Styela clava: one gene and its partners. The protein of the gene in region 2 purifies or fractionates together with the protein of the main gene of each other region. This does not show direct contact. Links are inferred from orthologs where the notes say so. Each region holds a gene or a part of one and is shown on either strand. Other genes may lie near its edges. The genes, in order: TIP41-like protein, serine/threonine-protein phosphatase 6 catalytic subunit and mitogen-activated protein kinase kinase kinase 7-like.

Region 1 (10,175 bases), on a different chromosome or scaffold from region 2:
TGGAGAAGTACACATGGAAAGAAGAAAGAACAGAGAAATAACGAATAAAAATTATAGGTTTGTTTACCTTTGGGGTTGGCCAGCTAGACAAGGCCAAGACCGCGGTGAGTGGGAGACAAATGGTTGACAATTGTTAACAAATGGTTATTCAAAGCAATATTTCTACGAAAAGACATTCCGTAACTTGGAAATTTCGTATTCAGGGTCTTTCGCTAGTGGAGGTTCTACTGTATTGTCATAAGTGTGGTGATATTATAACTTGAATAAAATAATGAGTGTGACACAAAAGTACAAGATAACTCTAGGACTCCAAATCACAATTTTAATTATGATGCTCAGACTGTGCTATCATCACATAGTAATTCATTATTCCTCAGTGCCATCAGCATCTAGTTTATATCTACTTTTATCCCATACATTACCAGTTTTACTTGAAGATGCTTTTGCCTCATTCTTTAAGAAATTCTTTTTTATTTTATCTTCATCAATTGTTAAAACCGAGGAATCAAATCTTGATTTAGAATACGGCTTCACCAAAAATTCAGATTCCTTTTTTCGAATCGAAATCGAAACTTTATTATTAGATGATGAGAGTTGATTCTTAAAAGATTCATCCTCACTGGAGGATGATACTGAATCTTCGTGTTTTTCTGAATAGTCATTTAAAAATGACAAATTTGGATCAAAATTTGGTTCTTTGAGTGCAGATAATTTAATTGATAAAATTGATTTTGTTAATGGTGAATTTTGCATCAGAAGATAAGTCTCAATATAATGTTGTTGTAGCATAGAAGGACAGATTGGAAATTCTTCCTTAATATCGAATTTCAAGTTATGGTGCACTGATAAAGCAGATAAACAATTCAGTGACCGTATGAAAATATTACTGTAAGATTCAGGTTTCCAGCGATTCTTTTGACAGTTTGACATAATATCATTAATAGTTCTTTTGGCATCCTCAATCGATATTTTTTCATGATAAAACGTTAAAATATCCAAAATTGTACAATACTGTGATATTGTATAGCGTTCTTGAAGTGATTTACTTAATCTCACAACTTCGTTCTGCATCGTTTCCACAGATAAACATGAAAAACACATTACAACTCTTTTATTGATGGCGAAAGAAATATCACTATCATCACTGAAGGCCAAGAGATATAGATAATGCTCTAATATCCATTTTTCATCCATAGGAAATTTCTCAATAAGTTTTAAAACACCAGTCAATATAGATTCTCTCAATTTGTCATTATTCACTTTTTGAACATTTTCCATAAGAACACTGACAATATGTTGGCAATCTTCAGCCGTTGCTAAATCTTCAAGTAAATGCATCGTTGCTTCAAGGAGAGACTTATTACCGCATGATAAATTTTTCAACAATAAGTTAGTGTATTGCTTTGAATAACCTGGTTTTATTTTCACAATAATTTTTAATGCTTCAATACCAGTTAGTAAAATATTCAAGTCTGTACTGGATAGAGCAGTCTCAATGGCAGCCAGCATAACATTTTCTAATTTTTGTACTTTTGGATGTAATGCTGCAATTGTGCGAACACATTCTTCAATGATAGCCAGTTGTAAATAGCCTGCAGTTTGAAATCTAGCAAATATCTTCGAAAATATCTCCTCCAGATCTGAAAGATGTTGTTCATTGTAATTTTCCTTGGATAAAATACGAACAATATGAATCAATCTTATTTGAATCCATGGTCCACATATTCCTTTATGCATCATATTAATTGGCAATCTTCCTTGTTCTACTTGTTTCAAAATAAAGACGATTTTTCCATGAATATTTGCATCTTGTGGAGGTTTGCTAGTTTTTAACAGTGTTTCAATAATTGGTAAACAACCACTCATTATTTGTGGATCTTTATCACACAAACAATGTTTCATTATGCTCCATGCTGAGATGACATATTCCGGACCAATTCTGACCATTGCATGTAGCACAACCAATGCTTTATATCTCACATGTGAAGGACCAGACTTCAAAATTTTCTCTACAGGAGACAAAAACACAGGAATGAGATCTATATCTATAAAAGATGCAAGGGCAGTGAGGGATATACAGGAAACAGCACTATTTTTATTGGATATATCTTTGAGTATTGTATTCACAGCAAGGTAAACGCTTGATCGACATGATTGATTTAATATTCCAAGAGCGGTGTATCCAAGTACTTTATCAAAAACATTTTTTGAATCCGCAATACATTTTATAACGAATGGATGAACAAAATTCAGTTTTTCATTTATATTTCCAAGCTGAATAACAATTAATAAACATTCTCGTTTCTCAGATAATGTTAAATACATGTCTTGACATTTGCTTCTCATATTACCGATGCATTCATTTATGGTATTCCTGTAAGATTGCATGTGCATGCTCCTACTTGAGGCAATAGTAGCATGCTGCAGATGTTTCAAATTAATTCCAGTATTTAATTGAATTGAAGAACTTCCACGTAGATATGAAACAGTTTGTTCCCAGGTTTTTTCTAACATAGATGACATCATTTTGAACCAAATACTGAATGTGGTGAGATAAACAATAGTTATAAAATAACACTAATATCTAAAAAATCAGAATGTGAAAAATACAAAATTACATATATATATACCGGTATATGACAGAATTACAAACATATTTTGAATTAAACTTTAACCAAATTACCACCTCTCAACGAAAATAATCACGTCTATTCAAATTATATATATGATTCGATCGCCATTAAAAATGGTATCCAATGAAAATAACGATATTTTTTTAAACACCAAATTAATGTGTCTTATACTGGTCAATGGTATTTTGAAACATACTGAAAAGCACCATGGACTATATCACCAAAATATTCAACATTATTTGAATTAATAAAATTATCAAAACTGCCGATAAACAAATAAAAACTAGACATCAACAACTAATCTGTAACAAGAATAATATAAATGGATTAGGTTTCAGCATAATATTGACATGATTCAAATTTCAGACCTGCTTATTTAAAACCCCATTAAAAGCGAACACAGCACAAATATATCACACAAAAATTTTTAGTGTTTTTTTTAGAGTTTCAAGTACTTGTAGTAGACAATGGGGAAGAAGTTTGTGAAATATTTGTAACATTTGCATCGAAAACCAATTTATGTAAAATTTCTGTCTTTTTAGAAAGATACTTATCAATGGCATGAGAATCTGTAAGCGCACTTGCTGGAATATTGCTTCCATCTAGCATGCATTCTTTTTCGGAATACTCCCTAATAAGATAGTTTGTGCCTCCTTCGTGATATAATCTTGTGTCATGTGTTCGTGCCAGTACACCATCAACACGAAGAAAGAAGCGCATTAAAACAAAGAAACATGATGGCATTACTCTCATTTTAACACTTAGTTCTGCACAGCCATGATCTGCAAGTTCATCTTCAAATAGAATAGCCTGTTCAAAAAACGCTATTTTTTCCCGGACTTTCAATTTTTCAAGGTTTATTTTTTCCTCTGTCTCTTCTACTTTTACATGCTCAGGTTCCCCGATAATTGTGCCCTTGTATTTAGTTGAATATGTCCAATCAAAAGGCTTTACAGTTTGGTGAATATATTCACAATCTTTGCGACTTTCGATCCACTCTTTTGCTGCTGCCACTTTCATCAAATCTCTTTTGTTATCAACAAGTCGTAGTGCATCAATTGCATTAAATTCAATGCTGAATTTGTTTGTGTGGCTGATTTTGATAGCGTTTTGACCAAATGTCATCTCAGGAATTTGAGGAAGCTCAAGCTCTCTAGATAAAGTTTCAGCATCATCACTTTTCAATATAGGACCCTTTTTAGCAGACACTGTCCAAGGTCCAAAATGAAACTCTTGAAAATTTCGGCCTATCGGAGTTCCTGCCCTTGCTGCCATTTATCATACAAATATTGATATTGAATAGCACCTCATTCACACTTATAACAAATCAGAAGAATCTGTAAAACAGGATATGTGAAAATATGAACAACACATACTATGCTCTCAGCCAAACTCAACTAAAACTTGTCTTATCTGAACTTTATTGAAACTAGCTATTTACTGATTACCGTATATTTGAACAAACTCCTAAAAAATAATCCCAATGTAAATGTTATATCTGTATATTGGACAATTCCAATGTTATCATTGTACAAGTTTTGACTAAAATCATTTCCTCAAGATATTGATATTGGCCCAAGATGGAGGCTATTTTAAAAATTTCCAAACAATTTCAACAAAATGATATTATAATTTACAAACAATAATATTATCACAGCGAATATCGAGAATGCACCTGCATACGATAATGTCGATATATTTGGTAATGGTACAGTATTTCTCAAGTCTATTATTCTAGCGACTACTCTGATATAAGATATTACCGGTATATAACTGTTAATACAACAAGTACTGATAAATGTGTATAAGATAAAAAAATGATATACATAATCATCCCGGGGGAGAGGAAAGCCGATAAGGTGGCTTAACCACATGGCGAACCAAGGCTTCTTGTCCGGTTACCATTCCATGCCCGGTATGGGATGGGATTAGTTCGTTATTTGTTTTCAGAAGAAGCACAGAAGCATGGACTTGATAAGGGAGGAAGCCGTAACCGACCAGTGGTTACGTGAACCACCCTACAGCGGCGAGGAGTCCAGCAATCCTCTCGCACATAACCATCCCTGCATGGGATTCAAACCATTTTTATTTACGGTTGAATTGTTGAATTTTACTTGCAACTAGGAAAAAGAAACTTATCAAATTTGTTCATTATTGCAACAATAATATTCAGTTATTACCACCTCCAATCCGGTAGTCTAATCAAAGTTGTCCTCGAATGCTAACAAACCCATAACCAACAAAAATTATTGTATTTACTATAATCAATATTATGGGAATAAGTTTTTTAAGAATTTGGATACAGTAATTACCGTATAATTTAGTAAGTATTATGTTAGGGTATTTTTTTCTGTGAATTCATTAATTTTATCCTGAGACTCTTGAGTCACTCAGAATCATAATAAGGATAAGTTTATTTCGACTCATGGGATGGGGCCACGACCCATCTAATTTGGCCACATCTACGGCCCATAGCTTAACTGGCCACGGCCTCATCAGGAAGAATTCAATTATCTTACCAAAATTTTCAATTTTCACAAAATTGTCAATATTCGAACCGAAAAAAATCGCGGTATGCCACCAAGTTTTTTTCTTACGATAAGCTTTTATAGAAAAATAAAGCAAAATACCAAGCAACAGAAAAGGATACTTCTGTAGTATGTGTACCAGGTTAGGGTTAGGACAATATTTTGTTCAGATTTTCCACATTATAGTTCTATTATGAGTTCGGGGACTGTCTGTGTTAGCCAAGTGAATAGTCCCTTTACACAACTTGATGGGCCACGACCCATAGCCTGATGGATCGAGGTCCAATTCGATGGGCCACGGCCCCGGCCCATAGGGGAGTCACCACTCCCACTTTAAATAAAACTGGTTATAGAATCGGGAGAGCAAACGAAACCTCAAGTAGCCTACGGTTTAAAGCATACAGATTTTAGGTGGGAAGGTATTGATAAAATTAAGGCACGCACGCACACACATACACACAATCATTGAGACTGAGACATGATATTGATAGGGTCGGGCGTGAAAGAAGCGAGAAAACAAAATCAATTAAGTTACTTAGTAAAAAGAAAAATATACAAAATAAATAAATAAATAGGCTAAATTATTTTGCCACACCAAATTAACAATTGTATGAGGATGGCCGAATCGGATACAGAATTAGTCAACAAGAGTTATATACTGTGGATGGAAAAATATTTCTCAAGGGATATTGTCAAGCTGATTATAGTTGGGGTCACCTAATGCCAAATCAGAATTGCCAAGTTGGATGCATGAAGAGGTGGGCTAGACCTGCTTCACTCACCATATAGGCCTACATTTACGATACGGTACCGGTACCTGTATACAAAATAGACCAAACTCAAAAAAGCGTGTATCATCCTAAAAATGCAGTTGCTAAAACGGACAAAAAGAACCGGTTTAAAAAGGGGCACCTTGTAATGGAGAATACCGTACGCACATTGGGCGCGGGATAAACATTACCGGTACCGTTCTGAAAATTCTCGTCCTACAAAATTTACCCAGCGGGAAGAAGCTCGCGCTTGATGTAGACTAAGCATATGATTTGATCCAAAGTGACTGAATTTGATCGATGGATATTTCCCCGACCCTTGACCCAAGATGCTTTATTGAGAGTGTTTCTGATTGGATTAGATTTTTGGCATAATGGACCTTTCCCCGAGCATGGACTTCCTTGTTTACTTCGTGACATTGGCCAATCAGCAAGATGCAAAAAGTGACGTAACAATGCCCCCTTTTCGCATCCGCTCAGACACTTTTCTCACTCAGACAGATTTTCAAGCGTGATTGTAAACATTACCTCGTTTTTGCGTTTTTGAACTCTATTCGTTAGTTTTCAGTTGTGTTTTGGGAACTTAAATAAAAATCAGATAATTCAATGATCACTCTGTCTTTCTAGGAGTTTTAATTTAATTGCAGTAAATAAAATTAGGCTGTGATAGACTAGCCTGAAATTCTTTACCGGTACTTTTAAAAAACAGATTGTTGTATGCGATGAATCATAATGACGCCAACTCGCAAAAGCACTCTTGAAATAGCCTTGACAATTTTGCAATGGTAAAGTATAGGGAGAATTTTCCGAGGGTCAAAGGTCGGGGAACGGTCCATTTGACACGTTTAGTGGACATAACGATCGTTTTGTTGTTGTTATGTTGTTCTTTGACACGTTTTGAAGAAATCGCTTTTTTCTTTGATTCCCGGACCAATTGCTTTGAAATTTTCAGTGGTTAAAGATAAAAATTTCTTCAGAAGGCTTTTACTTTTTTTTTTTTGCTATGACGTTATCAAAATTATTGTCATTAGGTGGCGCTACGTGTCCATATATTTGAGAATAGCTCTCTTGTTGTAGTTGTACCAATGACATTAAACTGGTTGTACTGAATACAATAATGGTTTTGGAGAGTTAGCGCTTATAAACCGCATGTTCGAAACATCATTTTTATTGAAAAAACACTCAACTACATGCCACCTACCGGTAGGTGATAGCTAATTTTTTCCTGATCGATCGTAGTTTATTTGGGACTAATTTTTGAATTTTGCAACTAAACTAAAGCATACAAACCCACTAAAACGAGGCAACGTTTACAATCATACTTGAACATCTGTCTGGGCGTCTGTACAACTTTCAATCGTTACGTCATTGTTGACATATTTGTGATGGTCATTGTAATGGAACTAATCAATGGGTGCTAAAGCCCCAATTTTCTTGTTTTTTTCGTGACAATGGTCAATCAGCAGTCAGTAGTTTATTTTGTGACTTGACAAGTTCAAGAGGTCTGTGTGTGTATGTGTGTGTGTGTGTGTGTGTGTGTGTGTGTGTGTGTGTGTATGTATGTATGTTTATTAGTCTCGTAGTAGTAAGCAATACAAAAAATTGACAATATTAATATTGGTGACCGGACGCATGCACAAGCGACAAGAGCGTACTGGCCTAAAACACAAATGTGCGACATGCACCCCTTTTGACAAGTACAGAACAAAATATGTTAGATTAAATGCATATGATATGGTCCCTTATATAGACAATTGTGTAAGGTGGGGCAATGGGTTGGTGTGCCGAAAGTGGTAATGGAGGAGTACACAGAACTGTTTATACGAGGGAGTTTATAAGACAATATGTATAAATAGGGACAACACAATATACCAAATACATATATACATAATGATAAAATAAAAATTTAGGCGTAGATACAGCACCCTTGAGTGGTGGGACCACATACCGGTAATATGAATGGGCGAAATATAGGAGGTACATGTGCAGTGCCTATACGGTCGCGCCACTAAAGAGTGATAAATATAGTCTTTGATAGAGTATAGATATTTCGGAAAAAATGGGAGCCATGCAGATTTGGTGAAATGCTTTAGTGTTGCTATCAAATTCCTATGTATTATTGTTCTATTTAAAGGTTAAAGCCGAACGTGGTGAGAATTACAGAAAAAAAATAAACTTGATGAAAAGCATTTCAACAAAACCCAACATGATTGCACTTTTGCCAGAAGAAGAGCAATGTATAAAAGTACAATTTAATTAAGGCTGATGCTTTAAAAAAAGAATCATTATTTCTCTGTCATGGAGTGCCCAAGTTGAATTAAAATCACAATAGAATAGTATAGTTTCCTGGGGTGAGGGAAGGGGAAAACATATTTCATTTTGTGCAATGACCTATAAGAGGAAAGGAAGTCCCAGCATGGTACTTTAACAAAAAGCATTCACTCTATTGATGGCTGTATTTAAATTTGATGTAAATGTAATGTAATATGCTGTCCGAGACCTAATTTGCTGTTCTTTGTCTCATTCCGCATGACAATAGAATTAGAACGGTGATCTAAATATTAATTCAGTCCATTGTTTCATATTGTATCCTGCTGAGGTGGCCTTTGGAGTTGAAATCGCACTCTGATGGGTTGTGGTTTGGTAGCCTTCGAAGTTCCACGATGGTGGTTTCAATCCAAATGGTCTATAATCGTCTCCTCATTTTTCAATTCACCTTAAAAAAATAAGCTCCGAAACAGTAATATGTTCAAAACAGAGAGTTTGGCTAATATGACGATAACAAATGTTGCATAAGTTTGGAACGAAATTCTGAGCTTGATTTAGATTTTTTGATGCTATTAGGTAGGGAATTCCAAGCTTTTGGTCCACATACTGCAATGGATTATTGTGAGATACTTTTACTAACATATGGAATAATTTTTTTTCTTTATTTCTGCTGTTTGAATTTGGGTTCGCTCTGAACAATCTGTTCAGGCTGGATGGAAGTTGCTCATTGTAGCAAGTGAACATTATGCTGCATAGTTCAAATTTAGCTAAATCCTCAACGCGTAGTAGCTTATATTCTTTGAATAAGTCATCAACTTTTTCTTGACTTCCCCTATAGAAGACTCTTCTAATAAAACGGTTGCATACACTTTGAATTTTTTTGATAATGAACGTTTGGCGATGAACATAAGTTGAGGCACAATATCGAATATGGTTTTCTATCAGAGAGTGGTACAGAGATATTAAACAAGATGTATTCAAATTGTTGGCTATTTTCGTAATAGCACCAAGAGACGACCTTGTTTTCGATAGAACCAGGTTTGTGTGCTGTTTCCAACACAATTTATCATCAATTATTACGCCCAAAAATCGCGTCTGGTTAACCCTTTATTTATTCCATTTAATTCCAGATTTTGTTCCCAGTGAAAAGCGAAGTACAAATAAATTACTCTTTGTTGAGGAACGATGGTTGTGGTCATGTACTGAGCTAAGTGTCACAAAGTAATGCTCAAAAGCTGCTGGTAATTGATTGTTTTGGAATTGATGCATAATCTTAGCATTTTTTAGCTAATGGATATCAAGTAGTTTTAACACTCTACGATTGTGGTATAGAATGTTCAAGTTTGAACGTAAAGGTGCCCGGGAAAGAATTCTAATAGCCTTATTTTGCAAAACTTCTAAGTTGTGCAAATTTTTTTGAGATGTAGAACCCCATGCAGCAATAGCATACTGAATGCGGGACTGGAAAAACGCAAAGTAGATGGTCCTCAGAGTAGAATCCTGTAAATAATATCTGAGCTTACCCAGAATCCCTACAGTCCTTGATAGTTTCTTATGCAATTCATAGGTGTGCGTGTTCCACTTTAATTGGTGGTCAAAATTGAGTCCAAGATATTTATAAGAATCGACTACTTCTAATTCGTTATCCTTAATTTCAACTGAAAGTTTTGGGTATTTGATGCGAGATTTCTGGCTGATTACAATGATTTTAGACTTATCTATATTTATTGTGAGTTTGTTGCATAACATCCATTCATAAATTTTATTTATTTCAGTGTTCATATTAAGTTGGAGAGTGGCTGGGTCCTTTGCGTTGGCGAGCAGGCAAGCATCATCTGCAAACAATTTACTTACGAGGTTCGAGCAGTTGGACAAGTCGTTTATGAAAAGGAGAAAGGCTAATGGGCCAACTACGGAACCCTGAACAATTCCGCAATGGATGGGCAACATTGAAGATCTGTGTGGGCCTACTTCAA
Region 2 (11,235 bases):
TGTCTTGCAAGGACAAATATTAATGCGCTCTCCGAAATCGGTACGCCACCAAACGGGTGCACGTTTCAAAGCTACTGTACGGTACCGGTATTGTTTTTCGCATGAGTTATACCTTAAATATATACTACTACGTTATACAGATGTGGAGAAGGAAGCTAATATCACGAAACAGATTCAAAACTTTATCGCCTTGCAGTAGAGTGAGTCGAATAACACTGTTTTTGATATTTAACGTTACATCATCTGCCGGGCCCGGGCGCCGGCCTGAACAGGCGCCACACCCCATCTCCAGTCACCGAAAAGATGAGAGATAGAAACATTTCATTTTAACAAAACAATATTAATTAAACAAGAGAGCAACGCTCAAATATATGGACACGCGGACAAGAGCGAAGCAGTCCCTACCTTTGACGTTACCGTTACCGTACCCTCAAAAAACTTCCGAGTTTCCAGTCACAAGAATTTTCACAGTCAGCCGTCACGCTTGACTTGTTAAAAACCGTGTTCTCATAATTAAAAAGTAATACAGCGCAATTTTGGATGAAATATTAGATCTCATAAGATTCTTAGAAAAGTTAGGAATGAATAAAAGTAATAGCCTTCTGACAATCAAATATTTTAACCACTGAAAATTTCAAAATCAATCTTTCAATCAATCAAAATCATTCTTTAACCAGTGAAAATTTCAAAGCAATTGGTCCAGTATTCGAAGAGAAAAGCGATTTTATCATGAAGAAAAAGAAGAAAATCAACAAGAACAACAACATCCATAGGTCCACTCACGTGTCCAAAAAGGACGATAGTACAGATTTTTATAGAAATACAGCGCAGTGAATATTTAAACTTTGAATTGTGTTGGTCAGTATGCAAGACCTTTACAAGTTACCTAGGCTCCTGACCATAAACTTCGAGCGAAGCGGTAAATTCTTTGTTGGATAAATTTACTTTTGGTTCATGAAATCACAGATGGTCCTCCGGAGAAATACAAACGTCCGCATCTTCGGTGGCGTGGTGCATAGTGCTAAGCGTGAGGAATATGCTCACCATCGCACTTTTGATTACCCTGCGTGGGTTCGAATCCCGTCGGGGATAATGATGTGCGAGAGGATTGCTGGAATTCTCGCGTAGGGTGGTTCACGTAACCGCTGGTGGGTTACGGTTTACGGTTTGATTGTTACTTGTTTTCTCATTTAAAATTGCTTCAAAAGTATTGCCCGATTTTAAATCGCGTTCACTGTTTTGTATTGGATACGGAATGGACCTATGAATCGTTTGTTATTACGTTGTTGTTGTTTCTCATGGTATTTTCTTCTTAACGTTATGAAAAAATCGCCTTTCTCTTTAACTACTGGGCCAATTACTTTTTAAAATTTACAGTGGTTAAAGATTGTATTTTTCGCTAGGAGGCTATTACTTTTTCCTGTCTATATATTTGAGCATAGCTCTCTTTTTTGAGGGTGGGCTGGTAACCTTATCCTAAGTTATACTCGCCTCCCATTTATGTCATCATTCTGTTTTACCTGTTTACTTCTTGTGTCGTTTTGAATTATGTCTGAGAACGGAAATAAAATGACCAATTCCATACCCGACATGGACTGGTAACCTTGTCTGTTTACTGTTACTTGTGTCGTTTTGCTTTATATCTGAGAACGGAAATAAAACGATTGATCCTATACTCGACATGGACTGGTAACAGGACAAGAAGCCGGGGTTCGCTATCTGATTGAGCAGTCCCATTGGATTTCTTCCCCCGGGATAAATATGTAAATCCTATCCTATGAAAATATCTTCTGTTAATTAATATCTGAACCAACGTCAAGTCAACAAATTCTATTTATAAATTCTTTTATCGCAAGTAATTGCATATCTTGCTTCGTGACAAGGAATTTAAAATATTTAATTTTTTCTGTAAATATGAACGACTCCAAGAAAATGCGTGCTTGCTTTCATTTTATTGTGCTTTTAAAAAACGATTTGCTTTGACGGATTCCGTATATATTGGTACCGTACTATTGTGGGTTCAGCAGGACTTTTTCTCGACGTAAAGTCGTAGAACTTTATGAGGCATTTGATTTGGTCTGACCGGCGCGGCGGTATGACTCATCGTTCTTACTCTGCGTGGGAATTCCATGCCCGGATGATTATGTGCGAAAGGATTGCTGGACTCCTCGCCGCCGTAGGCTGGTTTACGTCACCGCTGCTCGGTTACGGCTTCCTCTACAATAAAGTCCATGCTTCCGAAAAGAAATAACTAACTAACCGTATACCCGACACGGAATGGTACTGGTAACCGGACGAGAGGCCGTGGTTCGCCGTATGGACTATGGTTAAGCCGTCTTATTGGTTTTCCTCTCTCCCGGGATAATTATGTAAATCCTATCCTGGTCGCAACTCTCCAGCCCATATAGAATCGATAAATTATAACATAGTAAAAACCAAGACATTGCGATTGACAATTTATTCCAATTATAGCTCGCTTGTGATCAACATTCTAACTTTCTCTAAGAATGATTGCTACCTGTGTCCCAACGGCTTTCACGTAGAATACCCGTCAATGGATGTATTGAGCATCTCATATGAGAGCAATGAACAGAAAAGCTTTAATGTTGACAAAGTTTGTAAATATATTGTGAGAAATCTTAGGACTTTTAATTCAATAATATTACCATACTTAACAATTACAAAAGTTGTTTAATCAGTCAAGATTCATAGGAAAATCATAACTCTGATGATAAGCTTGAAGATAAATAAGCAAAGTATGATTAAAAACAATACTAAATCAATATTCAGTTGTTATAACAAATAATACCAGGACTGAGAAGTTACTGGTAATGTATATTCGATAATTTAGCGAAGCATGGAAATAAAGCTTTGAGGAATTTTTTTTTCTGTCAAAACATCAGACAGAAATTGGCGAACTGCATTGAAACTGACCAACTCTCGCTGAATAAATGAAAACAATCATAATAAAAACTTTGCACTCGCGTCTGTGAAGTTCCACTTTCAATTATCAATTTCGGGAATTACCGTAGCTTTGATATTTTGATCAAAGACAGAAAAACAATGTCATAAATTTTCTTTCAAGCATGGACATTGTGGAGTGTTCAGCGAATTAATGAGCAAGATGAAAGAGAACCTAATAACATAACAATATTTCTTATGTGAAAAAGATAATAATTTCAATGTATATGATGATGAACTTTTTATAAAAAATCCAGAGTTATCAAAGGAAAACACACTGTAACTTTGACTTATACAATCATATTCATGCTGCCAATAGATAAAGGGCAGCTGGTTTGCTAGCCATCCACTTGAAACATATATAACGAGTTGTATAAGTAATATACTCATATATACATGTTCAAGCGGTTCCAAAATTTATCACTTTGGGGTCTTCAAGTGCATTACAAAGTACATCCTTGGATCTATATATTATCCTTTGGGTATTGTCTATCATCATAAAAACGCCAGAGTAAACTGAAGTGCACTCTGCTAGGTTGATATGGAATGTCAACCAATAATATTCATACTGAGATGTGACAGACGAAATCACATTATAAAAAGTAAGGTGCAGTGTTCCTGGGAGGTATCACACGCATATTATCTGGAACAGCCCTGAAGAGTTTGGCTTCTCTGTCATCAGGCGTACGAACAAGCAAAATGGAAGCTATATTTCCACATCTATAACAGTAGTTAGGTGCAGACCAGACAGTGACCAATTTCTCATCGAACATATACTTGTACCCTTCATGTACAAGTTGATGAGCACGACAAATCAATTTCAGGTTGTTGAGATGAACGAATTCGTTGGTCACTTTAGATCCAAAAAGCCAGCCGGCACCTCTTGGACTTATTGCCCATGTTTCCACATCTTCAGGGTCAGACCATACAAGATCACAGAACGCTCCTTTGTGAGGAATCTCTTGCTGCCTATCGATGGTGCGAATCTGATCCATGGTTTTCACATCTGGAGATAAACCACCATGTACGCACAAAATACATGAATCAATAATAGCTGCAACTGTGAGAAGGTCAAAAACTTTGGTGCAGTAACGCCAAGCATTAGCATTTCCATATTTCATTTGGCATTCATCATAGAAACCATAAACTTGCGTGATCTGTCTGCTTTCATGATTTCCACGGAGAAGAGTAATCTTGTCTGGCCATTTTGCTTTCAGGGTTAATAGATATGTGAATGTTTCCAAACTGAAGTATCCACGATCGACAAAATCACCCATAAAAATGTAGTTGGTTTCTGGCACCTCTCCGCCAGTCCGGAACAGTTCTAATAAATCATAAAACTGTCCATGAATATCCCCACAAACAGTCACAGGTGAAGAGACAGGTTGAACATTGGATTCTTCAAGTAGAAGGTCACAGACATAATCACATAATTTTTTCAAATCATTTTCTGGAAGATATTTACAATTCTTTTCAATTTCAATCATACGATCCAGGTCCAAGGGTCCCATGATAAAACCTAAAAACATAATAAACTGTAGTGTCTTTATCTAAATGCAATTGGCAGACGAAATATGAATGATAGTATAAATTCACAGAAGACACGTTATCAAGTTATGTATAGTATCTGTGATATAGATACAGTCGTAAACATCAATTTTGAAATGCTGTATATGCCATATAAATAATCGAGGCGGTGGAGTCAGTATGGCCATTTTAAACTCACAGCAATTTTGAGCAAAATTATAAATTTGGAGAGTCAAGATCTCAGACTTTTAATAAAAGTAATAGGAGACAAAACTTTCCTCAGTTTTTCGGTTCGCTGGCAGAGTCAAAGTTCTTGTTAAAAATCAATCAAAGACTTTTCAGAAGCCTTGGAGTTCCCTTGACTCCATCTCCACAGCATTTCAAATAAGAAGTATTTATCCTGATCATATCAAAGTTATCAGTATTTAATATAATTGAACGAGAAACTTACCTGGTCTGTTATAAAAAGCTTCTAGAAAAAGCTAGAAATACTAAAATTAATTCAATTTTTATAGTGTCTGCAAAAAAAAAAGTTGTACAATGATTTGGCAGGAAAAAATGCAACAAACATTAGTAATTATGTGATTGAAATCTCAAACTGTATCAGAAAACAAAAAGAACCTAATGAGAGCAATAGGAGAGAAATAAGAAAACAAAAAGATAGTTAGTTCATAACAGGCACATAATGATCATCAACATTGGCAGCAGAAAAGAAACAATGAATGTATCAACACAAAAAATTATCACGAATAAATCTACTTATGATTTTGTATTTAAAAAATCAGAAATTTTGACGTGTTATTTCTGGTCTGAACAAATATTTTGACAATACAACTAATGGTACCAGTTCCGTTATTAAAATTGTACTTAGAATCAAATCCCAACCTTATTTCAAAGATTGGGTTGAAAGACTGCTTTTTTCTCACTTCAAAAAATATAAGTATTATAAATTTTGTAGAAATAAGATTTTCTTTGGATGCATGTACAGGAATACTTGTTTCGTAGTTCTGACTTGTATAAAACAAAATTCCATCAAAGTAAAAGGATAGGAGTTGACTAAATGTGTCTTTTAGCTCCCTTAGAACGATGACTTGTTCAATAATGAAAATCCAGGAGACATTGACTTTCCACTGATTGAGTCAATAAAATGTTTATCTTGAGAGAATATACTTGGAATAGAAATAGGGCTTGCACTCATCAGCTCATTATCAATATGATGATCTTCATCTCTCGATTCATCTTTGAGCTCTGGTACGCGGCCTTCCCACTCTTGGTATATTTCTTCAATCATATGACTTGAACTCTTAAGCAAATATGGATCAAAAGGAAAAAAGCAATCAAGTGGGTTAACCGAAGCAGAGTTTTTTGATTGACCACACACAGGTAAAGTCATTCTGTTGTTTCTTTCTATTATTGTGTCACAATAGACAAGTTGATGTTGTCTCATTAGTGAAGAAAACATACCAACCACAGTGCTTATGCAAAATTTCAATGGATTCAGACGGCTCATAATAATATGTTCTAAATTGAATTTGCGCATTATTTCAAATCCTTTTGGAAGGTCTAATATCTGTTTATGCCTGAATATAATAATATAAAATACAGCTTGGCACGCACTATAAAATGCTCCGTGGCGTACAGTTTCATGTAGAGGTCCGATATAGTCGTATAAACCTTCTCTCTCTTTGATATAGCAATGTATCCATACAGTCATCGCATTTAGTATTGTCAGTACAGAATTCAAATGTAGATATTTTGCCCTTGCAAGAAAGCTAGCTATATATGACAATGACGTCTGTCGTAATATCATAGGTGCACTTGGATCTTGAACCTTTCTCCATAAATGGTTGAGAAAAGTCTCAGAAAATGATTTTTCAAAACTGCAGATATAAAAAATTAGGAATTGAATATGACTGCTATCATGAATTGGAAGAATCACTTTGTCAAAAATGGAGACTAATTCTTTTAATAGAGTGTCTGCTTGGAGTGATAACTCCCCATTTGAATAACAAATATCATGTATGAACTGAAGTAGAGTTTCCATCACAATATCCAATTTGTCAACAAAACCCTCTTTTTTCATTGAATTATCAGTTTCCATTTCAAATAGATCATGTTCTTCAGTAGTCATTGATTTCTTTATAGATTCTCTTGGACAGTGTGTATCTAGTTTTAAGGATTTACTTATGATAAGTTCCAAGATTTGCGGTCGCAAGTTAACCCGGTATGTAGTCAGAAAAAGCAAATTCTTGATGTACCAATCCAATGCTTCTTTGTCCTTTTTTATAAAGGGATAATGTGAAACTAAAAGTGGCAAAACTATGTTAGTTGTCAATGGTATAAGGGTAAAAATTTTCTTTAATGTGCCATGGATAATATGAAATATTTCTTCCTGGGGTACACAAGTCTCACACGATGTGAGATTAGACAAGCAAGATGCAGGAATAAAATGAGTAATAAGACAGTTCAAAACTTGGAGTTGGTGGACAGAATTGGCAGCAACAAGTTCAAGTAGAAATTTCTGAAATAATTCGATTACTTCTTTTTCTCGATTGACCCATCTTATGCTCAGCATTCGATGAACTAATTTCTTTTGATCCTGATCAAGGATATTAACAATGTCAATAAATTGTTTCAACATTTCACTGAGATGACTTGATTTGATTAATGGGTCTTCTATTTGTTGTACAATCAGCATGTAATTCTCAGGAATTCCACATTTATTTTCTTCTATAACATCAGCTAGATGTCCACCGAATCGCACAGACTTTTTACCGGAGCTCTTCATATCAGTCATTATTCAAAAACTTAGATTGTACAATATATCAAATATGAAGTATAATCTGGAAAAAAATATTAAGAAATTATATAAGAAGTACATGGATAATTGAAATTCAATTTATAATATTCTGGACTGTTTACGTTTTAAGGGACAACTTCACATATTCGGTAATCATTATCAAAAATGCGGTGATATTATCCACATAAATACAGAGCAAAGTTATTTGAAATCCATGGTCACATCATCCACTCAGCAAGCATAACATTGCAGTCGTAATTTGTATCTGAAAATGGAACTTAAAGAAATACACAACAAAATCGCAACCTAAAAATTAAATCTAATAGTAACATTTCTGAATTTTAAGCAGTATAGATTTCTGGTAATAGTATTCAAAAATCAAATTTCATAATGTATATTTCATTAAATATCAAAACAATATATTATTTTTCAATTATTGTGCCAAAGTTGTTTGTTTGAATCTATAATATACATCATACTATAGTGCTCTAGCAATAAAGCCATAATATGGCTGTTTGCTCTAAGCAAACAATAATGAATAGCCTAAAAACTTTGTATGTAGACAATTGTATTTTCAAAGAATTGCAACAGATTTACTCAAGAGGTAACCGTATCACTGGTGATAATAAAGGCAGAGCCATTTCATTAAGAACAGTCAACCCAGGTGACAAAGTTCAAAAACAAAAACAAGAAAATCTGTATGAAACATTACATTACCGAATGACTTGAAGGATTGTGAGAAATGAATAATGAGAAATGTTAATCTACTAGTTGTGATTAATTTGTACAATTTCTCCACAAAGAAATAACTCAATATGTTAAATTACTTGGCAATAAAGAATTCATAGAATAGACTTTGCAACATGGATATTGATGTGATTTTGCACGAAATAGATGTCACATTGATATCTTGAATGTCTTTGCATTTTGATAAAGATAACAATGGCCTTCAAACTTTTGAAATATGATTATGGTATGTTTTGAAATGAACCAGATTGATAGTTCACTGATCAGTCACAACAGCTGCTTTAACAATTTGAGTCAGCAGATCGAACTACGACACAATATTTCAAGCAGCATATATCAGCTATCTTCCATACCCTTATGTGACGAAGTGAAGTTACATTTTCATTCAACGAAGAACATTATACAACCTCATGATTCAGCTTCACTTTTCACTTCGGAATTTTCTCCTTCCTCCATATTTTCCTTTTTATTATCCTCAACAAGAAATTTCTCCCAGTTTTTTATTCGAACTTCTCTTTCTTTATCAGTCTCTTCGATTTGATAGTCCGTAACACCATCCCACGGATCAACAGAAATTTTTCTTTTTGCAAACCATCTTTCATTCATTGCATCCCTACATTTTGTAGCTTCATCAAAATCTTTAAATGAAACGGAACAGACTCCTTGAGGATGGCGATCAAATACAAGAACCTTTTTCACATCCCCAAATTTTTCGCACTCTTTGCGAAGATCGTCTCTTATTTCTGTAATAAGTACAGCATCTTCTTCAAATTCTTTAGGATCGAACATATTTTTAAATATTAGTACTCTTTCACTTTTTTTTACAGCGTCTTTTCTTGCTAGTTTCCAGTCAAGTAGCCTTTCTTGTTCTTTGTGAAGTCGTGCTTTTTCCTTTTTGCTCAGCATTTTTGGTTTTTTTGATGGATCATAAGATCCCTTGAGTTCAAAACTTGCTTTTTGTACATGAATTCTGTATCCCCCACGCACTAAAGTATCATCTAATAATTGCATTGCCAAATCTAACGATTCTTTTTTTAAATAACAACATAAGCCATCACCTTTTAAATTACCCTCCTTGTCTTTATACAACTTCAGTTTGGGTTTACCGGTATGAGGATTTGGCATTATGATTCCACACTTTGACATGATAGAACCAAACTCTTCTAAACTTACATCTGGTGGTAAGCCACTAACATAAACATTTGTGTTTTTATCTTCCGTAACTTTAAACCAGGTAGGATCAGACGCTTTCCTTTTGGTGTCTTTCTTTGTATTTTCTTTTTTATTTTTAACTTTTTTCTCTGCCACCCATTCTTGTTTATTTTCATCCCAATTGTAAATCACTCCAGTCTTAGGATCAGTGTATGATGTCGTAGTAAAATTTCCATGCCCAGAAGGATACATAACCTGACCATCCTCTGAAACCCAAAGTTGTTTTTCATAATCCCATTTATAAAGTATTCCCGTGTTCGAATCTGTATATGTATGTTCAGTCTTACTATCATTTTGCGACTCGTTTGTACTAGTAGACTCATTATTACTGTCTTTGTTAGTTGAATCGCCATTTAGTTCTTTTGAAAGTTCTAAATCCCATTTGCCTTGGTCACTGTTCCATACATAAATAACCCCATTTGGATCTGTATATTTGCAAGGCTCTCCATTTTCATTATGTTCTGGTTCCCATTTTGAAGTTTCAGAGTTGAAATGAAAAGTTACTTTGGTTACAGGATCTGTGTAAGAAGTGAATTTATGTGATGAATCTACTTCTGTTCCAGCGTCATAATTCTCTTGATATTTCATCATCAATTCGACACTTAATTTAGGAAACCAAGCCTTTTTCTTTTCGTCCCACTCATACTCCGTTCCATCTTCATCAACTTTGACCTTTGCACCCCCGCCTTCTTCCAGAGTATTTTCTTCTTTCTGAAGTTCTATCTGTCTCTGAAATTCCTCGTATGTTTCAGGATTCATTGCCATGACTGCGTTGATTGATTGTACAAGTTATGTAATTCAGGGTAATCTAAATATATGATAAAGAAGCATTTGTAGGTTATATATATTGAAACATTATCTGTAAAGGGGCCAGCATAAATACTGACCAAAACGGATGTGATCCGCAGAATTATAGACAATATTTCAATTTTAAAAAATCTATTGAATCATTTATCCATCACATACTCGATATAAAAAAATATGACAAAAAGCTTCAATATATTGTTTTATAACCGAGGATGTCACTTCCAATTCATTCTGCTCCTAAGTCCTAAGAACAAATAAATGATCCGGGTTTATGCTTTTAATTTACCTATGGGAAATTTTCTTTATTCTTAAAATTATATCTTATCAACATATTTTGTTTTCAGGCTGAAAGTTTAATGCTATAACTATGGGAAATGAAATATACCGGTAACTATTTTTTTTATTTTTAAATTATATTTCAGCAGCATATTTTTTTTTCGGGCTTCCAGGAAGATATTTCAGCAGTAGATTAATAGTCTATAAAATTATATGAACAAATGTATAGAAGCTAGATTTGATGTATATTGGCAGCAGTTGAAAAGATATAAATGGTAACAATTTCATGAGTTTTTATGTATATTCATAGCAATACAGGTATTAAATTCATAATCCCAAACAGTGTTGATTGTTCTATGACATAATAGATAAGGTATAATAGCTTAAAGGAAATGAATGTATATAAAGGCCAAGCAAGTCATATAAAAATAACAAAATGAGTGAACGGCATATAGGCTACCCAGGTGAAATATATTCATAAATTATGCAAGACGTCATAAGCATTGTAATTAGCGATCACTGATTGATCAAAGTCAATTAATTTTAGCCAACTAGCAGCAGAGAGATTCTCTCGAGATTTGGGATCACCTTTCAAAAAAATTAAGGGTTTACGACCAGCTTTATCTAACACCTTCAGATATGAATTGACATGGGAATACGTGGACTGATAAAAACCTGGTATATCGCATGCAAGAAAATGTAAACGTGGACAATTGGACATTAAAACTTTTACACAAGAAACAACAAATCTAGATGGCTCTAATAAAGATGATTGAGATTTTAAGATCAATTTCTCAAGATGCTGACAAGTGCAAATTGAATCTAGCAAACGTTTGGTGATCAATAACAAGTCATGGTTTAAGCGTAATTCATTCAAATTCGGTAAATTCTTCAATACATTTCCC
Region 3 (11,153 bases), about 11 Mb from region 2:
TTTTTAACACCCTGTTTTTAAATGTATCTTCATATCGCAGAAGTAGAACTAAATTTGCTTATGTCACATTTTAAAGTTTCGAGGAAATCTTTTGTAATTTTCAGAACTGTAAAGTCAAACACGAAAATGGACACAAAGCGCTGCCTAAAATAAAAACTAAAACAGGTATAGCTTTGAAACTTGGACCAAAAGATGGTCGGTCCTTGGTCCATCATGACAGAAGATCAAAAAAGCCAATTTCTGAAAATGTGACATAAGCTCCTTAGGTTTTGCTGTGGCAATACGATTAAGTTATATCAGCTTTTTATATCCAAAATAAAAATTCATTCATCTCACCTGTCTTTGTATATTAGGCACAGATTGTGATGTCACCATTGGTGGTCTATCATGATTGGTCATATTAGGATTTGTAATGTGTGTCTTCCTCAGGGTGTCGCTGATTGTACTGTATGTTGTTCCATACCCTCTGAATAATAAGGACATAAATTAAATAAAGCAGAGCAAAATTACCTGCCTAACAGGATACTTGAACAAGATGTAGTCGACAAAATTGCAGGATTCCACATAATAAATGTTGTATCGAACCTTTATTGGACTGCTTAGTGTTAGTAAAATAGGATTTACATAATTATCCTTGGAAAGAGGGAAGATAAGACAGCGTAATCATATGGCGAACCACGGCCTCTTGTCCGGTTACCAATGTCGGGTATGGGAATAGGTATTCAGTTATTTTTCTATATCTTATCAAACATCCTTGTGACACAGGTCCATATCTAGCAGTACAAGAAACATGGAATGTAGAATAGACGGTTTGTCACATGGCGCTGAGCACATTTAAATAAAAATGCTAATATTTGTGGGCTAGTCGGCATAGCGCAGTGGCACCCAACAAATTTCACCCAAGCTATTCACCATCTTTTTTTGTCCCCTGAGATAAATATGAGATCAAATTATATATAGAAATATTCAGTGTTCACCTGTCACTGCCGGTTTCATAATAATCAGACTCTTCATCACTGTCAGAGTATTGTGGAAATACAAGGGGAACATCAGAACCACGGAAATACGGCATCAATTCTGTCATTGCATATACAACATCATTCATACTTGGACGGGAACTCGGATTTTTTGACCAACATCTGGAACAAGAAATAATATTAGGTTTTCATTGAATTTAAAAAAGACTCAACTAAAGCTGAATAGTATGGAAAACATCTTGTAGCCAGATATTTTGATTTCTGTACCTAAAAATCCTGAAAAATGGATTCTACATAAAATGTTTTCTATGGTTTACTAGAGCAGGGCTGTGGTGTCAAAGATAATTTACCATCAACCAAGACTTGAGAAAAAATATCTTCTCTTGAACTTGACTCGGAGAAAATCAAACTTTGGTGACAAACACATTGAAATATCCAAACCTTTATTGATAGACTGTTGTCAGGACCACATAGTAAACTTAATGCTTGAAGTTTTGTGAAAATTTATAGCAAACTCGCACCCACCTTGTCATTAGTTCCTCAATAGGTTTTGGGCATCCCTGTATTAATGGCGGCCTCGTACCGGTATGAACTGCCCACATGATGCGAAATGCTGGACCTCCCAACTCATCAAATGGTTTTCTTCGAGTTAAGACCTGTCAACAATGTTGTATATTAGAAAAAACTTAAAGAGAAAGAATATATCATAACCATGGGCACAATATCCGAGTAGTTAGAGCACCCGATTTTACACGTTGGCACAGCAGAACTAGTCAGATCTTGGTCCTTATAAAACTAATAAATTCTCATTCCCAGTTGCTGAATGTACATTGCATTGTTTGAATTGAAGCTTAGAAAACGACTTTTAAACTCTCCCTATACTTATTCAAACTGTGGCACAAAAAAAAGAGCAAAATCCAAATTCTACCTCCCAGAGTATGATTCCCCAGCTGAAGACATCACATCTCTCACTGTATTGACATCCTTCAAATACTTCAGGAGCCATCCATGCCGCTGAACCCTGTGCAAAAGAATGGTTTGATACTTTTAATTTTTTTATGAATGAAATTAAGGGCACTCACTCAGAAATTAAAAAGACGCATTTCTGAGCAAAGTTATGAGCACACACTCAGAAGTATTGAGAATCATCTATGAGCAAAGTTATGGGCACTCACTCACTCAGAAGCAAAGAAGACTCATCTCTGAGCAAAGTTATGAGCACTCACTCAGAAGTAAATGAGAATCATCTATGAGCAAAGTTACGTGCACTCACTCACTCAGAAGCAAAGAAGACTCATCTCTGAGCAAAGTTATAGGCACTCACTCACTCAGAAGCAAAGAAGACTCATCTCTGAGCAAAGTTATGGGCACTTACTCAGAAGTAAATGAGAATCCTCTCTGAGCAAAGTTACGTGCACTAAGTTATGTGTCAGAAGTAAATGAGAATCATCTCTAGACAAAGATACACTCGCTCACTCCAAAGTAAAAGTGACTCAGCTCTGAGCAAGTTTTAAGATTTTATGGTAAATTGTTATTGGTTTGGCTGCGATGTGAAACTGGAAAGCTGACAACATCGCTTGCTTATTACCAGTTGCGCACAGATTACTATGACTAGGCTTCCTCTCATATTTCCCTCACAATGGGGATAAACACAAAACCCATCTCATAATGAAAATACATGAATCCCTACCTTGTTATTAGTCATCTGTGTGTGAATGTCACAGGCAGTGCCAAAGTCACAGATCTTCAGAACGAGTCCTTGGTTCGTCAGAAGTAAACTGAACAGTAAAATAATAGGATTCAAAGCTGTTTGAAAGGATTTTCTCAAGTTGGAGTATGCGGCCTAAATCAGTGATTCTCGAACATTACAGCACCTCATTCATCGTCATCACTCGGAGAAATAATTAGAAAAAAAAAATATCTTACTTTGGGGGTTTCAGGTCTCTATGTATCAGAGCTTTTGGTTTCATATTATGAAGATAAGCGACACCTTTTGCACATTGTAAACACCAACTCATCCCATGGCCCCCGGTGTAGTGGGGGAGAGGCCCTGCCCCATGCAGCACTGAAAAGTATAGAATTATGCTAGTTTATATAGAGGTGCCAAACATACTTTTTGCAATGAAAAATTTTATTTTTTTTATTCTACAGTAACAGGTATTTGATTGATCTATGGGCATGTAAAAAAGATCAATTGTGTCTGTGGAAGCCCATAGATTCAAACCAACAGTTAAACGAGAATATCGGTCAGAGACCGAAGACTTATCGATCGAAAGTTAGGGGATCCCCCAAAACAGCGCTCCTACTCCATAGTGACACCTTGTGTCCCATCACTAATTAATTAATAACTCGCTAATTATACAACATAATTCATCCAAAATCAATAGGCTTCTGGTACAACATATGATGAATGCACATGCAAAATCTGGAGCAGATTCAATCTCGCTTTCGTGAGATATCGCGTGTATCTTACAGACAGACAGAAAAACAGACAGACAAATACCTATCAACATACTTACCGATTAAAATCGATAGGTAACAAGCTAAAATGCTAATATAAACATTATATTATTACTTTTCAACTTTCAACGACTATAGTTTTTATGATTATGAATTTCTGATGAAAATAACGTTATATTGGCCTTGATTCTTACATCACATAAACGTTAGCCAAGCTGTTGTGAAAAACTTATTTCAATTCATAGGTTTTCATATTAAATCTTGTGCCTCGGGCCCGGTAACCAAGTCTATTGTCAATAATTGGCCCACTCAGAAAAATAGTTGTACAACCCTGGCTTGTCTATCTGGCATATTTCAATTATTACCATGGCAAACTTTTAAATGAAAAATTTAATTTTTTTTTCAAGTCTATAAAATATAAATCCCATCGAATACAGTTAATTCCAAATACTTGAATTTCCAATTTATATCTACTTTACTTACAGTCATACAGAGATCCACACTCTGCCAGTTCCATAACAAGAGACACAGGGTTACTGCAGGCACCATACAGACGAATGATATTAGGATGTGAAACTCTGGAAATAATAGTTCGATTAGGGCTGGGAATAGTCAGAATCGCAATGAAACAAACCTACTCATATCCTCACATATAAGCAGAGTTTGATACGAAAAGAAAGTTGCCAAACAAACTAAGGGGTCACCTTAAAGCCGCATAACTTTGATCGCACTAAAAACCTGGCTTGTACGCGCATAACTCTATTCGCGCTAAGCGTACGGAATGTTACGATTGGTAGGGCCGGTATATATGAGAATTTTTATAAATTCACCATTTTGAGATCGTTTTTAATGGGTCGGCTTGTATGTGAGGATATTAATGTGCATTGTGTTTATTTTGTTTCATACTGTTTTTTTCATATCTACAGCACTAAACTTGGTAATTGGTTAATAAAATCACAGGACCTATTAATCATATTAGTTATGACTTTTCGGGCACTTCAGATTTTTGATATAAACATGGCATCATTAAAGATTTATATTTCATGAGTCTGAGTCAGGGGTTTCAAAATCTTTTTTGAAATTTTGAAGATCAATTTGCGATCAAAACGAGTTGTGCAATAAAGCTAATTTACACAATAACATATAAATATAATATAAGAAACAATGTAAGTTATATAAAGTGCTGGAATAACATGCCAAATCAAACCTTGAGAGCTGCCTCAATTCTGTAATGAAGGCTCGACGTTCGTTCTCAGATTCAATCTTCTTCACAGCGACAGGATGTTGGCGATAAACAGCTTCATAAACTACGCCGAAAGCTCCTTTGCCAATCGTCTGAAAAGTAAAGATGAAACGGAATATGAAGATGCGGATGGACACCATAATGTACAGTTCTCTGATTAAAAGAATAGCCCGCACATGAAAGACATCAATTACAACAGTGAGTGCAAACTCTTCCCTTACGAGACAGGCTGGGCCTCCATATCGAATCAAAACACAATAAACTAAACTAAAAGAAAGTGCAATTTAAAAACATCACCATTGGATTCCTTGAAAATATAATAATCTAATCTAATAATCTATCTGAGGAAAAAATCTTTTACCGAAGCATTCGAAAGTTTTTAGCAAGTAAAAGCAATTTTGGTCACAAATTATTACCAAGACAAGCTCAACACAATCTGACACATGTGTTGTCGTGCCAGACATCTTCGTTTCAGGGACCAATAGAGTTTTGTTTTATTGAAGCAAAGTTCGGGACATCTTGGAATCAGGGAACTGTGCCCCACTGTGAATAATACTTTTATTTTCACATTAAAAATGATTTAGAATTTCTCAATCACAGAAATAAAGTTTTACCAACTTAGCAAACCGGGATACTCACATTCCCCAATTTCATTTCTTCATATTTTATTTCCTCAATAAATCCAGGCGGAGATTCCGCATATACGACATGAGCCATCGCTGCTCAGCTGTTCGACCTCGCTGCAACCAGTGCCACATACAAGAGAAAACCTGGACGACCCGCCACCTAAGCTGGTTCGAATGTTTATTTCTCTTTTTTACTAAGTACTTTTTACCTACGCTCCCATGTACGGTGACTGAACATCAGCAAAGAAATAGGATAAAACTCAACACAACCACACAATTTCTCCAACATATTCAAGACAAATATTTTACTTAAGATGTGAAAGGAGTCGCATTTGGTGATCAACGATTATCTTCTGATCCCAAGCGTATGAAATGGAAAATGTAGCGATAACATGAAAATTGAGAATGAATCAAGCTGATAGGATAAAATTTACATATTAAACCCTGGGAAGAGAAATGCCGATAAGACGGCTTAACCATATTGCAAACCACGGCCTCTCGTCCGGTTACTCCAACCAACCTGGCACACATACTTATTTTTTATTTCCGATGTTGCCTACTACATCAGTTCTAAATTAACTTCTTCAAAAACATTGCACGAAATTTTTCATGTTTCAGATTTTGATATGATTATGAGGATAGGATAGAATTCACATATTTATCCCTGGGGAGAGGAGAGTCGATAAGACGGCTTATCCATATGGCGAACCACGGCCTCTCCATTCGGTCCAGTTACCATTCCAAGTCGGGTATTAGATTAGTTAGTTATTGTTAATGGTTATTAGGACTTGGTGGTGGAGGAACGACCAGCGGTTACGTGAACTTTTTCATGTTTCAGATTTTGATATGATTATGAGGATAGGATAGAATTCACATATTTATCCCTGGGGAGAGGAGAGTCGATAAGACGGCTTATCCATATGGCGAACCACGGCCTCTCCATTCGGTCCAGTTACCATTCCAAGTCGGGTATTAGATTAGTTAGTTATTGTTAATGGTTATTAGGACTTGGTGGTGGAGGAACGACCAGCGGTTACGTGAACCACCCAACGACGGCGAGGAGTCAAGCAATCCTCTCGCACATAACTATCCCTGCATGGGATTCGAACCTGCGAACCCACGCAAAGTAATTAGAGGTGCAGTGGCGAGCGTATTCCTAACGCTTAGCCCGTTGAGCCACACCGCCGCGTTAGTTTGACGATTGCTAGTGTAGAATGTTGACTCTCGCTGATATGCACCGTCACTACCTTAGAAATAAATTAACCTATATTAATTAAGGCTGTTAAACGCTGTTTTTCTACGGTAAATTGAAACAAAAATCGAAACCATCCTATTTCAGAAGATTCCTTCGATATTAACGTGATGAGGGTATTACAAGCGACTGCAAGTTACGGCCCCAAAGCTAACCGCACAAAAAGGCCGAGTAGAATCCTTATTAAATCATTTTATAATTTGCTTGATCTCAATATTTCATTTACATATAGCAAATAGATTAATATCGTGCTTTTGGCGGCCCCATCCGGTATTTTATTCGAGGTACCGCAGTTTGAAATCTCATATTACACGCTTCGGTAGTTGGATATGATGTCATAATTGACATTTTTGGCGGCCGAAGCGTCTGTGAAGCGCGCCATTTCTTTACAATTTCTGGCTGTGGGTGGTCAGAAGAATTGGTGAAACGAGAATCGGTAAACTGGTATATGAAAAATTATTGTTCATATAAAGTCTTTGCAATGCAAAAAATGGGGTGTTAATCAGCTGGATATTAGCGACATAAACTCGGTATAAGAGATTTACTTCAAGAACGTTTTGCATCGTAGACTACATCGCGTGAGTGATTTCTCAGTATTTGATATAGTTTTCATGCGAGTTCCGAAGTTCTGTAGTCTGCTGTTAACTTGGGATTTATCTATTGGGCACTTAGATAGGATACCAGCATATGTTACTGCATCCTCCACCATCAAGTTCATGCACCTTGCACCTTAAAACAAGTGACCGGTCATACTATGGGGGGGACAAGGTTTATGGACTGGACCACGTAATCGCAATCTCAACAAATTCTATGAGCTATTTTTTTTTATCTAAAAAATATCAATTTGGTTTTAGTTTGGTTGTGGCAGCATCTGACGTACCAGTTTGAACTATCCAATGGGTCGTGTCATGATTATACTGATCCTATGTGATAAAGCTCGACCAATATTACTTCTTGTCGCCGATATCAATATATCGGCCAACCGGTAGCGTATAATCAATATCGCTATGCCGATATTAATATAAATCATATTTTGAGCCTCGCTTTTATGAAGCACCTCGTGAGTCTGTATTTTGATTTTTATTATCATTGCATTGAGACTTTTATTTAAATAATTCCAGTTAATGCTCGAACAAATGTTATTCTGTAACTTGTCCTGCTACTTCAATATCAGTCTAGCTATTTCCAGGAAAAAGAATTGTTAACCCTTTCCGTGCAATTTTTATTTTTTATTAAATAATCGTATTTGCTACGCCGATTTTATGCATTTGTACCCCCACAACTAATCGATCGACTAACGAAAAACTAATGATCCTCTGCTGCCCACTGACGGCTCGTTGGAAAGCTTATTTAAAGAGCTTTCAATTGGCAATTATAAAAAAAAGTTTTTCTAAAATTGGTGGTCTGAGTCACAAACCGGATAGAAAAAAGGCATTTTTTTTTCGTAGGAGTTGAAACTTCAAACCACAATAAAAAATAGAAATATTCGCTCAAAATACTTTGGTAGATGGAAGGGATAATATGTCTTCTATTACCACCCAAAAAACACCGAAATTTGCATAAATTTCAGAAACACTCTCTCGTTCCGCCGCAAATAAAATTCCCGTCGTAAACGAAAGCGAGATTTACCGTCGCTTATGTTAATCTCGAAGAAGACTTCTTATCAATAAACTAAAACCTGGAAAAACTAGACCAACAGTTTGCGACCGATTGCTAACTAAAACAGTGGAGTACATCAATGTACCCACCGCAATCTAGCGACCTTTGTCGTTGGTACGTATACGTGCCCACCGCACGGAAAGGGTTAATCTGACGTTTTTAAATATAACTGTGGACACATGTTAATAAGGGTATTAAAAAATTATAAATTGATATATTTCAAAGTGAATCGTGATAATGATAAATTTCTTCAATATTGTGATAGCATATGTTCAGTTACATGTGGAATTTTTAATAACTTTGTTTCCAGAGACTCTCAATACCTTATTTAGTCAATAATAATGAATTAGGTTTTTATTTTGTAATTTTCAGCAAAATGATAAACAACCATCAATATAAACAAAACTGCTACCCCAGAAATTCAAAATTGAATTTGGGAATGTCACAAATTCGGAACTGACATTATTGCTTTGAGATACCTGTGCCATGTTTCTATGATCACTAACTCACCAGCTTCCAATCGATTCTATTTATAGAACCACCGTTTAATGCTGTTACTAAGTTTGCCTTTCTCTCATTGTGTACTCTCTCAAAAACGTCACTTTATGAAACGTCATTGTTACAACTTTTCAGTTATGACCATGCATGAAATGGCTAATCATAAGACACCGGGAATTAGGAGAGACACCTTCATAACGCAAAATGAAAGCGAGAGGAATATTGAGAAACCAGTTACACAGGGGCGAGAGCCGTTGTGGCACGCAGCCCGGCGCTAGCCGATATATATCGGCTGATATGATATATCGGCAAACACGCAATATCGGCCCTATATATCGGTCGAGCTCTACTATGCGGTAACCAGACAAGAGACAGTGGTTCGGCATATATTTATTGACTTTGGATAGGATAGGATTTACATATTTATCCCGGGTGAGAGGAAAGCTGATAAGACGGCTTATCCATATGGCGAACCACGGCCTATCGTCCGGTTACCATTCCGAGTCGGGTATGGGATTAGTTATATTGTTTTGTTTTCGGAAGCTTTCATGCGGGTTGAATATGTACATCTCTATTCTTAAGGGAGAAGTACAGCTGTGCTTGTGTACCGGCAAGCAGGCTAGTACTGTATTGAAGAGATAAATATATATTGGCGTGGCGGTGTGGCTCATCGTGCTAAGCGTTAGGAATACGCTCGCCACCACACCTCTGATTACTCTGCGTGGGTTCGAATCCCATGCAGGGATGGTTATGTGAAAGAGGATTGCTGGACTCCTCGCCGCCATAGGGTGGTTAACGTAACCGCTGGTCGGTTATGGCTTCCTCTACCATCAAGTCCATGCTTCCGAAAACAATTAACTAACTAATCCCATACCCGACATGGAATGGTAACAGGACGAGAGGCCTCGGTTCGCCGTATGGTCAAGTCGTCCTATCAAGCCTCTTACCCAGGATAAATATGTAAATCCTAAATAAATAGGATAAACTTGTTATTTTTCAAAGTACCGGTATATTTGTTAGCTTTAGTTAGCGCTGTTTGATTAGGTCATATCATATTGTGGAACTATCAATTAGCGAAAGCTTATATATTTCGTGGAGAAAAAATATGTTTTCTAATTTGTCTGTTTTTGGTTGCTATTTTAGTTATTATTTAATTCGACCATTTTCATGTACAACGTAAATAAGCATATAACGTAAATCTGTTGCAGTTCAGAACTTTTAGTAAATTGTTAGAAATGGCATATCGGAGAAGATGCATGAATGTTCTGGGCTCATGGATAAGCATACAAAGTAGTATTCGTGTTATGTTCTGAATTGGAGTAGATATGAAACATTAGGCAAAGGGTTAGAGTAAGCATATGAAGTGGGATTCATGGTATGTTCTGGGTTAGGATAGATATAAAACTTTGGGCAAATGGTTAGTGTAAGCATATGAAGTGGGATTCATGGTATGTTCTGGGTTAGGATAGATATAAAACTTTAGGCAAATGGTTAGAGTAAGCATATGAAGTGGGATTCATGGTATGTTATGGGTTGGTATAGATATAGAACTTCATGCAAATGGTTAGAGTAAGCATATGAAGTGGGATTCATGGTATGTTATGGGTTGGTATAGATATAGAACTTCATGCAAATAGTTAGAGTAAGCATATGAAGTGGGATTCATGGTATGTTATAGGTTGGGATAGATATAAAACTTGAACCAAATGGTTAGATTAATTCTGAGTTGGATGGATATAAAACTTTAGGCAAATGGTTAGAGTAAGCATATGAAGTGGGATTCATGGTATGTTCTGGGTTAGGATAGATATAAAACGTTAAGCAAATGGTTAGAGTAAGCATATGAAGTGGGATTCATGGTATGTTCTGGGTTAGGATAGCTATAAAAACGTTAAGCAAATGGTTGGAGTAAGCATATGAAGTGGGATTCATGGTATGTTCTGGGTTAGGATAGATATAAAACGTTAAGCAAATGGTTAGAGTAAGCATATGAAGTGGAATTTATGATATGTTCTAGGTTGGGATAGATATAAGAAGTTAAGCAAATGGTTATAGTAAACATACACGGTATGTTCTAGATTTAGGACAGATGTAATACCTTAGGCCAGGGGTCACCAAACTTTTTTGACCGCGGGCCGGGTATGACTCAAACTATGTTGAAACGGGCCGGATGAATATTTTTGTCAATGCAATAAAATTGGGAAATTCATTCAACAATATAAATTCTACATTTCTGAAGACTTAAATATTAAATTCCACCTATATCGCAGAATACAGATCGAGAACATCCCATGAAAACAAATATACAAGATTTCTATATCTAGACAACTATCCTGAGTTTAGCTGTTATTAGAACGTTGCTGTCATGAATTAGGAATGTTACAAAATCTGCTTTTTCGCGCCAAAAAATGTACGCAACACGTCTGACTATTACCGTT

The links.
Region 1: the proteins of serine/threonine-protein phosphatase 6 catalytic subunit (region 2) and TIP41-like protein purify together in Homo sapiens (co-immunoprecipitation; 4 studies listed by BioGRID and IntAct, with this or other methods). This does not show direct contact. The link is inferred for Styela clava from reciprocal best matches to the Homo sapiens genes PPP6C and TIPRL.
Region 3: the proteins of serine/threonine-protein phosphatase 6 catalytic subunit (region 2) and mitogen-activated protein kinase kinase kinase 7-like purify together in Homo sapiens (affinity purification with western blotting; 3 studies listed by BioGRID and IntAct, with this or other methods). This does not show direct contact. The link is inferred for Styela clava from reciprocal best matches to the Homo sapiens genes PPP6C and MAP3K7.

What each region holds. Positions count from the first base shown.
Region 1 is NC_135252.1:7,461,735-7,471,909, reverse strand, and holds TIP41-like protein, read right to left. Parts: upstream 3,993-10,175; 5' UTR 3,909-3,992; coding exon 3,081-3,908; 3' UTR 2,584-3,080; downstream 1-2,583. Other genes in the region: AP-4 complex subunit epsilon-1-like, read right to left, coding at 367-2,526. UniProt on the Homo sapiens protein: May be a allosteric regulator of serine/threonine-protein phosphatase 2A (PP2A). Isoform 1 inhibits catalytic activity of the PP2A(D) core complex in vitro. The PP2A(C):TIPRL complex does not show phosphatase activity.
Region 2 is NC_135259.1:10,554,170-10,565,404, forward strand, and holds serine/threonine-protein phosphatase 6 catalytic subunit, read right to left. Parts: upstream 5,081-11,235; 5' UTR 4,940-5,080; intron 4,481-4,939; 5' UTR 4,473-4,480; coding exon 3,555-4,472; 3' UTR 2,444-3,554; downstream 1-2,443. Other genes in the region: RNA polymerase I-specific transcription initiation factor RRN3-like, read right to left, coding at 5,567-7,285; 17S U2 SnRNP complex component HTATSF1-like, read right to left, coding at 8,444-10,012.
Region 3 is NC_135259.1:21,783,813-21,794,965, forward strand, and holds the start of mitogen-activated protein kinase kinase kinase 7-like, read right to left. Parts: upstream 5,588-11,153; 5' UTR 5,398-5,587; coding exon 5,320-5,397; intron 4,773-5,319; coding exon 4,645-4,772; intron 4,016-4,644; coding exon 3,921-4,015; intron 3,043-3,920; coding exon 2,904-3,042; intron 2,756-2,903; coding exon 2,668-2,755; intron 1,999-2,667; coding exon 1,906-1,998; intron 1,634-1,905; coding exon 1,503-1,633; intron 1,140-1,502; coding exon 978-1,139; intron 467-977; coding exon 337-466; intron 1-336. UniProt on the Homo sapiens protein: Serine/threonine kinase which acts as an essential component of the MAP kinase signal transduction pathway. Plays an important role in the cascades of cellular responses evoked by changes in the environment.